Linked DNA regions of Danio rerio. The protein of the gene in region 2 purifies or fractionates together with the protein of the main gene of each other region. This does not show direct contact. Links are inferred from orthologs where the notes say so. Each region holds a gene or a part of one and is shown on either strand. Other genes may lie near its edges.

Region 1 (3,833 bases), on a different chromosome or scaffold from region 2:
AAAACATTGACATTTTGTTTGCATGTAATTTATGTAGGGGTGAGAAAGGAAATTAATTATGACCAAGACTCTAAGCTGAAATTTTGTCTGGTCAGCATATTGGTTTAGCGCACAATTATTGAGTTTTCTTTCTATGGGAAAATGTCAAGTATATAAAGCCATGTAATACACAAGGGGATCTGAAAGCTGGGCTAATGTTTACATGGGTGTTTCAGTTGATCAATCAAGCAAAACATGAATCTGCATTTTTTAAAATATCTATTTCTGAGCTGATTAGGTTTGATCACAGTTGTTTACTTGCATGGGTCAATGACAAGCTGTTTCATGTTGGTGTCTGCATCAAATTAAATTTACGAAGGTGACTTTATATACACAGAAAGCATAAAAAAATGGAAGTATGGAATAATTTCTAATAAATTTTATGAAAATATATAATACTGTTTCACATCAATCAGTGTAACAGATTTCATTAATTCATTCATTTTCTTTATGGCTTAGTCCCTTTATTAATCAAGGGTCGCCACAGTGGAATGAACCACCAACTTATCCAGCATATGTTTTACGCAGCGGATGCCCTTCCAACCACAACCCATTACTGGGAAACACCCATACACTCTTGCACACACATACACTACGGCCAATTTAGCTTATTCAATTGACCTATTGCGCATGTCTTTGGACTGTGGGGGAAACCGCAGCACCTGGAGGAAACCAACACAAACGTAGGGAGAACATGCAAACTCCATACAGAAATGCCAACCAACTCAGCCGAAGCTTGAACCAGCGACCCTCTTGCTATGAAGCGATCATGCTACCCACTACACCACAGTGATGCAGCCGTGTAACAGATACTATAATATAATTTAATATAATATAATATAATATAATAAATCTTAGAATATATCAAACAACAGGTGATCAAATATTATCTAAGTGAAACCAACTGGTTTGAAAGATAGGTGTAAAACTACATATACTGTATACATATGACCCACATGTTCCCGAAATAGAATCTTTTAATATGTTATGGAATAATTATATTTTTTAAATATGCCTGGTTCGATTATTGTGCTTTTTTGTGCAAATCTTAATTAATGTGCATTTTCAGTTCTATTGGCTATTATGTGATCTATATTTATACATCTTATATGACAGAATGTTAGAAATTGTGTGAAAAGCACATTTTAAGTCTACCAAGCTGTGCAAGCGCTCCAAATCATCTGGGGATTTCTCAGAGAATGTTGTCAAGGCAACTATCTGATACAAGTTTCAACTGAAGCACTAAACTGGCTAAAACTAAAAAAAAATAATAAAGCTAAATAACATTCAGAATAATATTTTCAAAAACAAATGAAAAAAATCTCAAAAATTAAAATGAGTATTTACAGTATTGAAATGAAAAAGAAAACAAAATAGTAACAAAAAATGATGCTAATAAATTAACATCTATCTATCCATCCATCTATAAGCACGCACACACACACACTAATGTAATATAAATTACGCTATAATGCAGTGAGATTTTGTTTATACTTTTCACATAATGGCAAATATTATGTAGGGATATATTTAGGGAAAATCTATTAAATGCATACAAAATCTAAAAGGTCTTTTATCATGTGAAATGAGGGCTCACAGATTTAATAGGACTGCCTTAAAATTACTAAAGATTTTAGGATAGAAAAGTATTTTACTGCATAACAACGTTCTCATATTCTATAATGCTAATAGATCAATATTATATTGCTATAATGCATCATTTACTATAGCTGAGCTCTGACAAAATGAAAGTGGCCTAAAGAGACACACTTAAATTTTCATATTTTAAGATTTAAATAAAATATCATGTATATAATGTAAGTGTATGGAAAAAAAGTTTCATAGACAAAACTTAAAGGTTAGACCTAAATTGTTTGTGTTGCGTTTTTAAAATACATCACTGAAATTGTTTTGTCTAAAGATGCACAACAGTATTTTTTTTTTATACAAATAAAAATAATGCATTTTTATAAAAGCTGCTTAAACACCCTAATTTAAAGGGATAGTTCACCCAAAAATTTTAATTCTGCCATGATTTACTCATCCTCCACTTGCTTCCAACCCGTTTCTTTCTTCAGTTGGAGACAAAGGAAGATATACTGAAGAATCTTCCATAGCACATTTTGTTCAAACTATAGATGTCAATGGCCTTTTTTCACTCCTGGACATTCTTCAGAATATCTCAATTTGTGTTCAACAGAGGAAAGAAATTCATAAAAGTATGAAGTGTGAGAAAGTAGTGAGGAACAGTCTTTTGACAAAGATCATGTCACTAAGATCATGTCGTGCCCATATAGAGGCTTAAACTGTGCACAAAATTCACAGTGAATTTGCCTCTTTCTAAAAAACATGACTGTTAACTGCAATCCATGCTATTCAGATGGTGAAACAGAGGAGCGTGGGTTTAATAAGCATGGACATCCGAATGCGGATACATACCAAACTTCCCCCAGCCCACTGTCCTACACTACCCTGCTATTACTTGTCCTCATTGTACCACCAAATGCAGCTCCACTGCCCCCATGTGCCCTCATGGCTCTTACTGTTCTGCTGTTGGTTCTAGAAGAGTGATTTATCATGTTGAATGTGAATGAGATAAGACTGAATCATACCCCATCAGGTAGAGCTCGCCAGCACACTGCACTGACAAACTCATTGGTGTCGTCCTCCTTCTTGTCCTTGTCCAGGACGCTCTTCACAGTGTCAAACTTGAATGTCAGCAGCGTCTTGGAAAGGCCTTTGTAGTACAAGTACAGCGAGTTGTTTTCACTACCTGCGGGGTTATAAAATGAGAGCATTTCTACTTGGCCATTGAATTATTCGAAAATAATGCACACCTGAAGTGATGATGCGGCCACAGTGTATAATTTCTGTAAAAAAACTACACATTTTTAACTGTTTACTGGCCAATCAGATTAAAGCACTAACTTACAGTAGTGAAAGTAAGAAAAAAATCTTTTCAGATGTTGAATAATTAAAAAAATACTGCACACCCAAGGTGGCAATGCCATTATCTTTGAATTTAACAAACCAGTGTCAATTATTGTATGTTACGATTATCAGAGCTGAAGACTGCATCATCACAGGTTTTTGACAGTTCTTAACTATGAAACAACTGAAATCATGTGGTTATGTGGAACTGTAATGTGTTTGAGACCTGCCTGGAACTACTTTAACTGTGAATTTATCAAACAATTATTTGCTTGTTACTTCAACACAGAAAACTTCAACAAATGCTAATAAAACTAAATGTCTGAGTCTAAATGTCTATTAAATTTTTTTTATTCAACTTAAAATCAGACGGCCAGAGACTGAGATTAATTTTTTTATAATTCATTACAATATTGGTGGAATTTTTTAAAATAATAATAATAATAACAATATACAGTCAAATTATTCATACCCCTGGCAAATTCTGACTTAGGTACTTTTATTCAACCAGCAATTAAATTTTTTTGACCAGGAATAACACAAGCTTCTTCTAAAAGATAATAAGACTGTGTACAAGATGCATTATTGTGGCTTTTATAAACATTTGAACAAAAACTTTGTGAGAATTTGCCAGGGGTTTGAATAATTCCAGCCTTGACTTTATATATCGCATTATCATAGCTTTGATTATAAACCAAAATGCCAAAAGCAAACCTTTCTGTTGTTTAATTAATGTCATATCATGCCACTCACCACATGCTACATAGTCTCCATTTGATGCCAAACCCACAAAGTTCTTCTCATTGATGTGGCCTTTGAAAGAGCGTAAACAATGAGGCTTGTTCACGTTCCAGAGTTTCAGC
Region 2 (4,329 bases):
CCAAAATATTGATTGTTTACATGTACCTAGGTTTTACTAAATATCTATGTTTGGTGTTAAAAAGCACAAATAGTGTGTTTTTTTAACAGCAACAACCATTTTTACAAGTAAAACCATTCTTTTTAGTCAAGGAGCAAAAAATTTAATTAAATCCTTTTTGTGGCACCCTTATAATCTTAGCTTATTTCCTGTTTGATTAAAGTGATGGCGAATACCGTGTTATTTTAGTAGCACTAACAGTGATTATAGTTCACATTCACCGTGCAGCTGCTCCAAAATGTCCGCACACAGCGCATGAAATGGCCAAATTTAATAGACTACTGTACTGTAAGTAGCCTAACTCAAGTTCCATTACGCTGTTTATACACGCAGTTTACTGTGTATTACAGGACGTCATTGTTTTGCACAGGTTCTTCCGATTCATAATGGAAAGTATGTGTTGCTGTTTGCGCAGTGTACACTCTTTATATACGTATATACAGATATTGCAACCATCCACTCCCGTTCAGAACCCAGCAGCCACCACGTGATGTTTTCGCAAGCTGTATCTGTTGTTAATAGAGCAAACGCTCAAAACAACCATAAAACATTCCTGCTGGGGCAAGTTTTTATGAATGGCATTTTTCCTTCCTCGACTTTCCCCCTTTTTGTGAATGAAAAACAACTGGAAACGTACTAGGGAAAACCCTTGGGATTCTCAAGCGGCGATTGGCTAAAAGAACGCCAGCTCCGCCCTCGGTTGCTAAACCTCGATTGTGATTGGCTGCAAAGAGCAGAGAGGTTTCATTCATAATGAAGGACAAAGAGAAGAAACTTGAGCTATTGAAAGAGAAAATCCACCAATCAAAGTCCTCCAAACTAAGCGAACATCCAACAGCAATAAGAGCAAGCTAAAGTCAGGAGTATAGTTTAAGAAAAGTGCTTATTATTATTTCATTAACCAACCTCTTGTCCACGCATAGCCCTACACACAAACAATCCAAACCAAAATAACAACATGCTTGAAATGGTATTAAACTTAAGCTAAAATTGAAGTGTTAAAGCAGACATATTTAAATTTATCATGACTAAACTAATACAAAAATAAATGTAGGTTATAATACTTTGTATAATATTTATAAAAAAAACTTCAATATAATACATAACAACAATATCGCGTTTTATTGGCTAAAAGAACAGTGACCCTTTCACTAAACCACCATAATCTTATAGCGAACGTGGCATATACATCAGCTAGTTGTCATTCTCCGCAAAATCCTGAGTAAACTCCCAGGACAATAGCTTCTTGGCACAAATGAAGCAAAGAAGAGGTCTCGAGCTGTCCAAACAGTGATTTAGCAGAGCCTAGAGTGTGTGTGTTTATACGCACGCTGGTGGTTTTTTTGTGAATGGAGCTCATTACGTATGCAGCCTTCTCGCGCTCCATTCACAAACTACCGCTGCTGCTGCTGCCTCTGTCCGTCTTCCTTCCCCTCTCAGTCTGCGTGGAGCTCATTAAAACACAGCCTAAATGACCACAAACGGTTAAGGCATGGATTATAAGATGGATGGATATCTGGACCAGCAAGTGCCTTATACTTTAGCTAATGTGAGTATGGCTTTATTCACTTCAAAGCTTTGTTGCGCTTCACGCGGGGATGTTGTGCTGTTTCTCTGTCGTCGTTGCATGTGATTCGTTTTAAGCAAAAGCGCCGTTGCGATCAAAACTGTTTTCAGTTTGGGTCTGAGACAAAGTTAAACTTGCCTAGGAAATACTCTGTTTGTCTTTACGATGTACGCTGTGCTTACAAGGTAAACTTTAATCCTTTCTTTAAACGCAGTTCTGAAAATTGAGCTTGAAAGGAAATCAAAACTTCCCTTTTCGGGATGCTTGGATTGTCAGTATTTGCTGATGTAAAAGGCAATGCTCTGAAACCAGTTTTGATGGTGAATGGGCATCAGCTTATAATATATTTTAGTGAAAATAATTCGCAATGCACTGCATTTTTGTACCTTGTCATAGTGGATTGTAACAGTTACATTTTTAATGTTTATTTTACATGGTTGGGTTATTTAGAGTGAGTTTTAAAATAAAAATCAATCTTCATGATTCTAAAGTCTTCTTCATGAGTATGTATTTTCACTTACATAATGTAGTTTCTGTTTTGTAGAGGTCGCAAGGAAATGGGCCCCTAAATAGACTGTTGATGGCGACAAAAAGGAAATACATGGACGCAGAATTACCCCCTCAGGAATCTGAAGGTAAAATAACAAGCAAGTTTAGAAAATTGTATATTTTTATTTTACATTTACACTTGCTCAATAGTAGCTTAATATTGTCAGTTTTAGGTAAATTTTTTATGTGGACTGTTCCGCTATAATAACATGATTTAGCAAAAACAAACAACATGTAAGACCTATTTTTTTAATAAACAAATGAGCAAGAAAATTATTTTATATATATATATATATATATATATATATATATATATATATATATATATATATATATATATATATATATATATATATATAAGAATATGTCATCAAACTAATTATTTATTTTCCTTTTCAGACCTCTTTCAGGATTTAAGCCAACTTCAGGAGACCTGGCTCACCGAAGGTATGCCTCTATTTTAAGCATGTATTATGTGTCTTTATTGCAATAAATATGTCCCTCTAGCGGCAGTGGGAAAGGAAATATCACATGAAACATGCTATAGCAAGTGCGTATACTTGGTGAGAATTACAAAACAAAACATAAACAACAGAAAGACATTCAGACTGTGGTGGCCTATTTGCAGAGTAAGTCAAACAGCTGTTACAAATCATTCATGTTTTCAGTTTAGAGAGAATAAAAAAAATATTTTTAATAGCCGTGATAGTCCATACAGTAAGATTAATTTAGCCATGCATCAGCACAATTGTCATGTAAACTTATTGTTGCAAATGTGCTGCTTTTGTAAAGTGCACAGAAAAAAAAATTGCCTTGATTGCACAATGTTGCTGGTTACGTTTTATTCGGAAAGTCCTGACAATGGCTCTTAAAGCCAGTACACCCAGGCAAAGCAAACAAACAGCATCAAAGCTGGACAGACAGGAGGCAAATAGTTGAAATGAACCCTGCCAGAAACAATTTACTGTGTACATGTCAGAGTGTGGAGAACACAAAGGCTGCTCTCAATGAGACCGGGTGGCTGGATCCCCGCTGTTCTGAATGAATTATACATCTGTCCCATTCAAAACCCCTATGCAGATTTTACGATAACAATTACGAGGTGAAATAAATGCAGTTTTATAAAAAAAAAACATGTACAAATAATATACAACATTACTTTTGTTTATATTAGTGAAACTCTTGTATGATTTTATTTTATGCTTTATTATAAATTAAAACCGTCTTGCTGTAATTGCATGCACAGAATATGACATATGGCAAATGAAAGAAGCAAAATCTTGAAAAAAATAGCTAACAGTCTTACATTTAGGAATTAATTAATTAAAGAGATAATGCAATAATACTAGGGATGCTCCCATCAGGATTTGAGCCGATATCGAGTACCGATACTATGTCATGGTGATCGGCCGATACCAAGTACAGATTCTGATGCTCTGATGATCTTCTTCGACTTAACCCATAAACAAACACTTGTGATCAGTTTATGAGATCAGCCAGATATGAGAGTACCAATAGAGTCATAACATGTGATTATCGGCTGATACCAATCTCAGGTCGTTCGATTGGAGGATCCCTAAATAAAACTGTAAAAATATTTGCATTATGCATGTTTAATTTCTTAATGTATACATGAAAATCAATTGGATTGATTTGTCCTTCTTTCAAGTAGATCGACTCTTTAATTAAAGTTTTCCTCAAACTATTGTACAGCACCCATTCTTGTCTTAGGACAACTTTTTTGATCCCTTTTAAATATTGACTATATAAAAACAACATTTTTTTTACACCATTTTTTCTTTAAATATTAGGGCAGTTACTCTTGTCTGGGATCCCAGTCATAAGATAAATGCTCTTTATGGGCTTTTTAAAGTGCAACCAGAATAAGAGTTGTCTATAAACTGTCATGCTCATCTGCTATTACTATTAATCTTATTTTGCTTTTTTTTTTTTTGATCCCTTTCAAATGTTAACTATACAAAAACAACAAATATCAGGGCAGTTGCACCTGTCTGTCCCAGTCATAAGTTACAGTTGAAGTCAGAATTATACTAAACCCGTAAATCATAACCTGTTTATTTCTTCCGCAATTTCTGTTTAACGGAGAAAAGATTTTTTTCAACACATTTCAAAACATAATAGTTTTTATAACTGATTTATTTTATCTTTGCTAC

Evidence for each region.
Region 1: the proteins of etv4 (region 2) and cop1 purify together in Homo sapiens (affinity purification with mass spectrometry; 5 studies listed by BioGRID and IntAct, with this or other methods). This does not show direct contact. The link is inferred for Danio rerio from reciprocal best matches to the Homo sapiens genes ETV4 and COP1.

Annotation. Positions count from the first base shown.
Region 1 is NC_133177.1:38,105,148-38,108,980, reverse strand, and holds part of cop1 (E3 ubiquitin-protein ligase COP1), read right to left. Parts: coding exon 3,724-3,833; intron 2,813-3,723; coding exon 2,652-2,812; intron 1-2,651. UniProt on the Homo sapiens protein: E3 ubiquitin-protein ligase that mediates ubiquitination and subsequent proteasomal degradation of target proteins.
Region 2 is NC_133187.1:29,382,756-29,387,084, forward strand, and holds the start of etv4 (ETS translocation variant 4), read left to right. Parts: upstream 1-1,424; 5' UTR 1,425-1,531; coding exon 1,532-1,588; intron 1,589-1,675; exon of another isoform or gene 1,676-1,791; intron 1,792-2,150; coding exon 2,151-2,241; intron 2,242-2,554; coding exon 2,555-2,602; intron 2,603-4,329.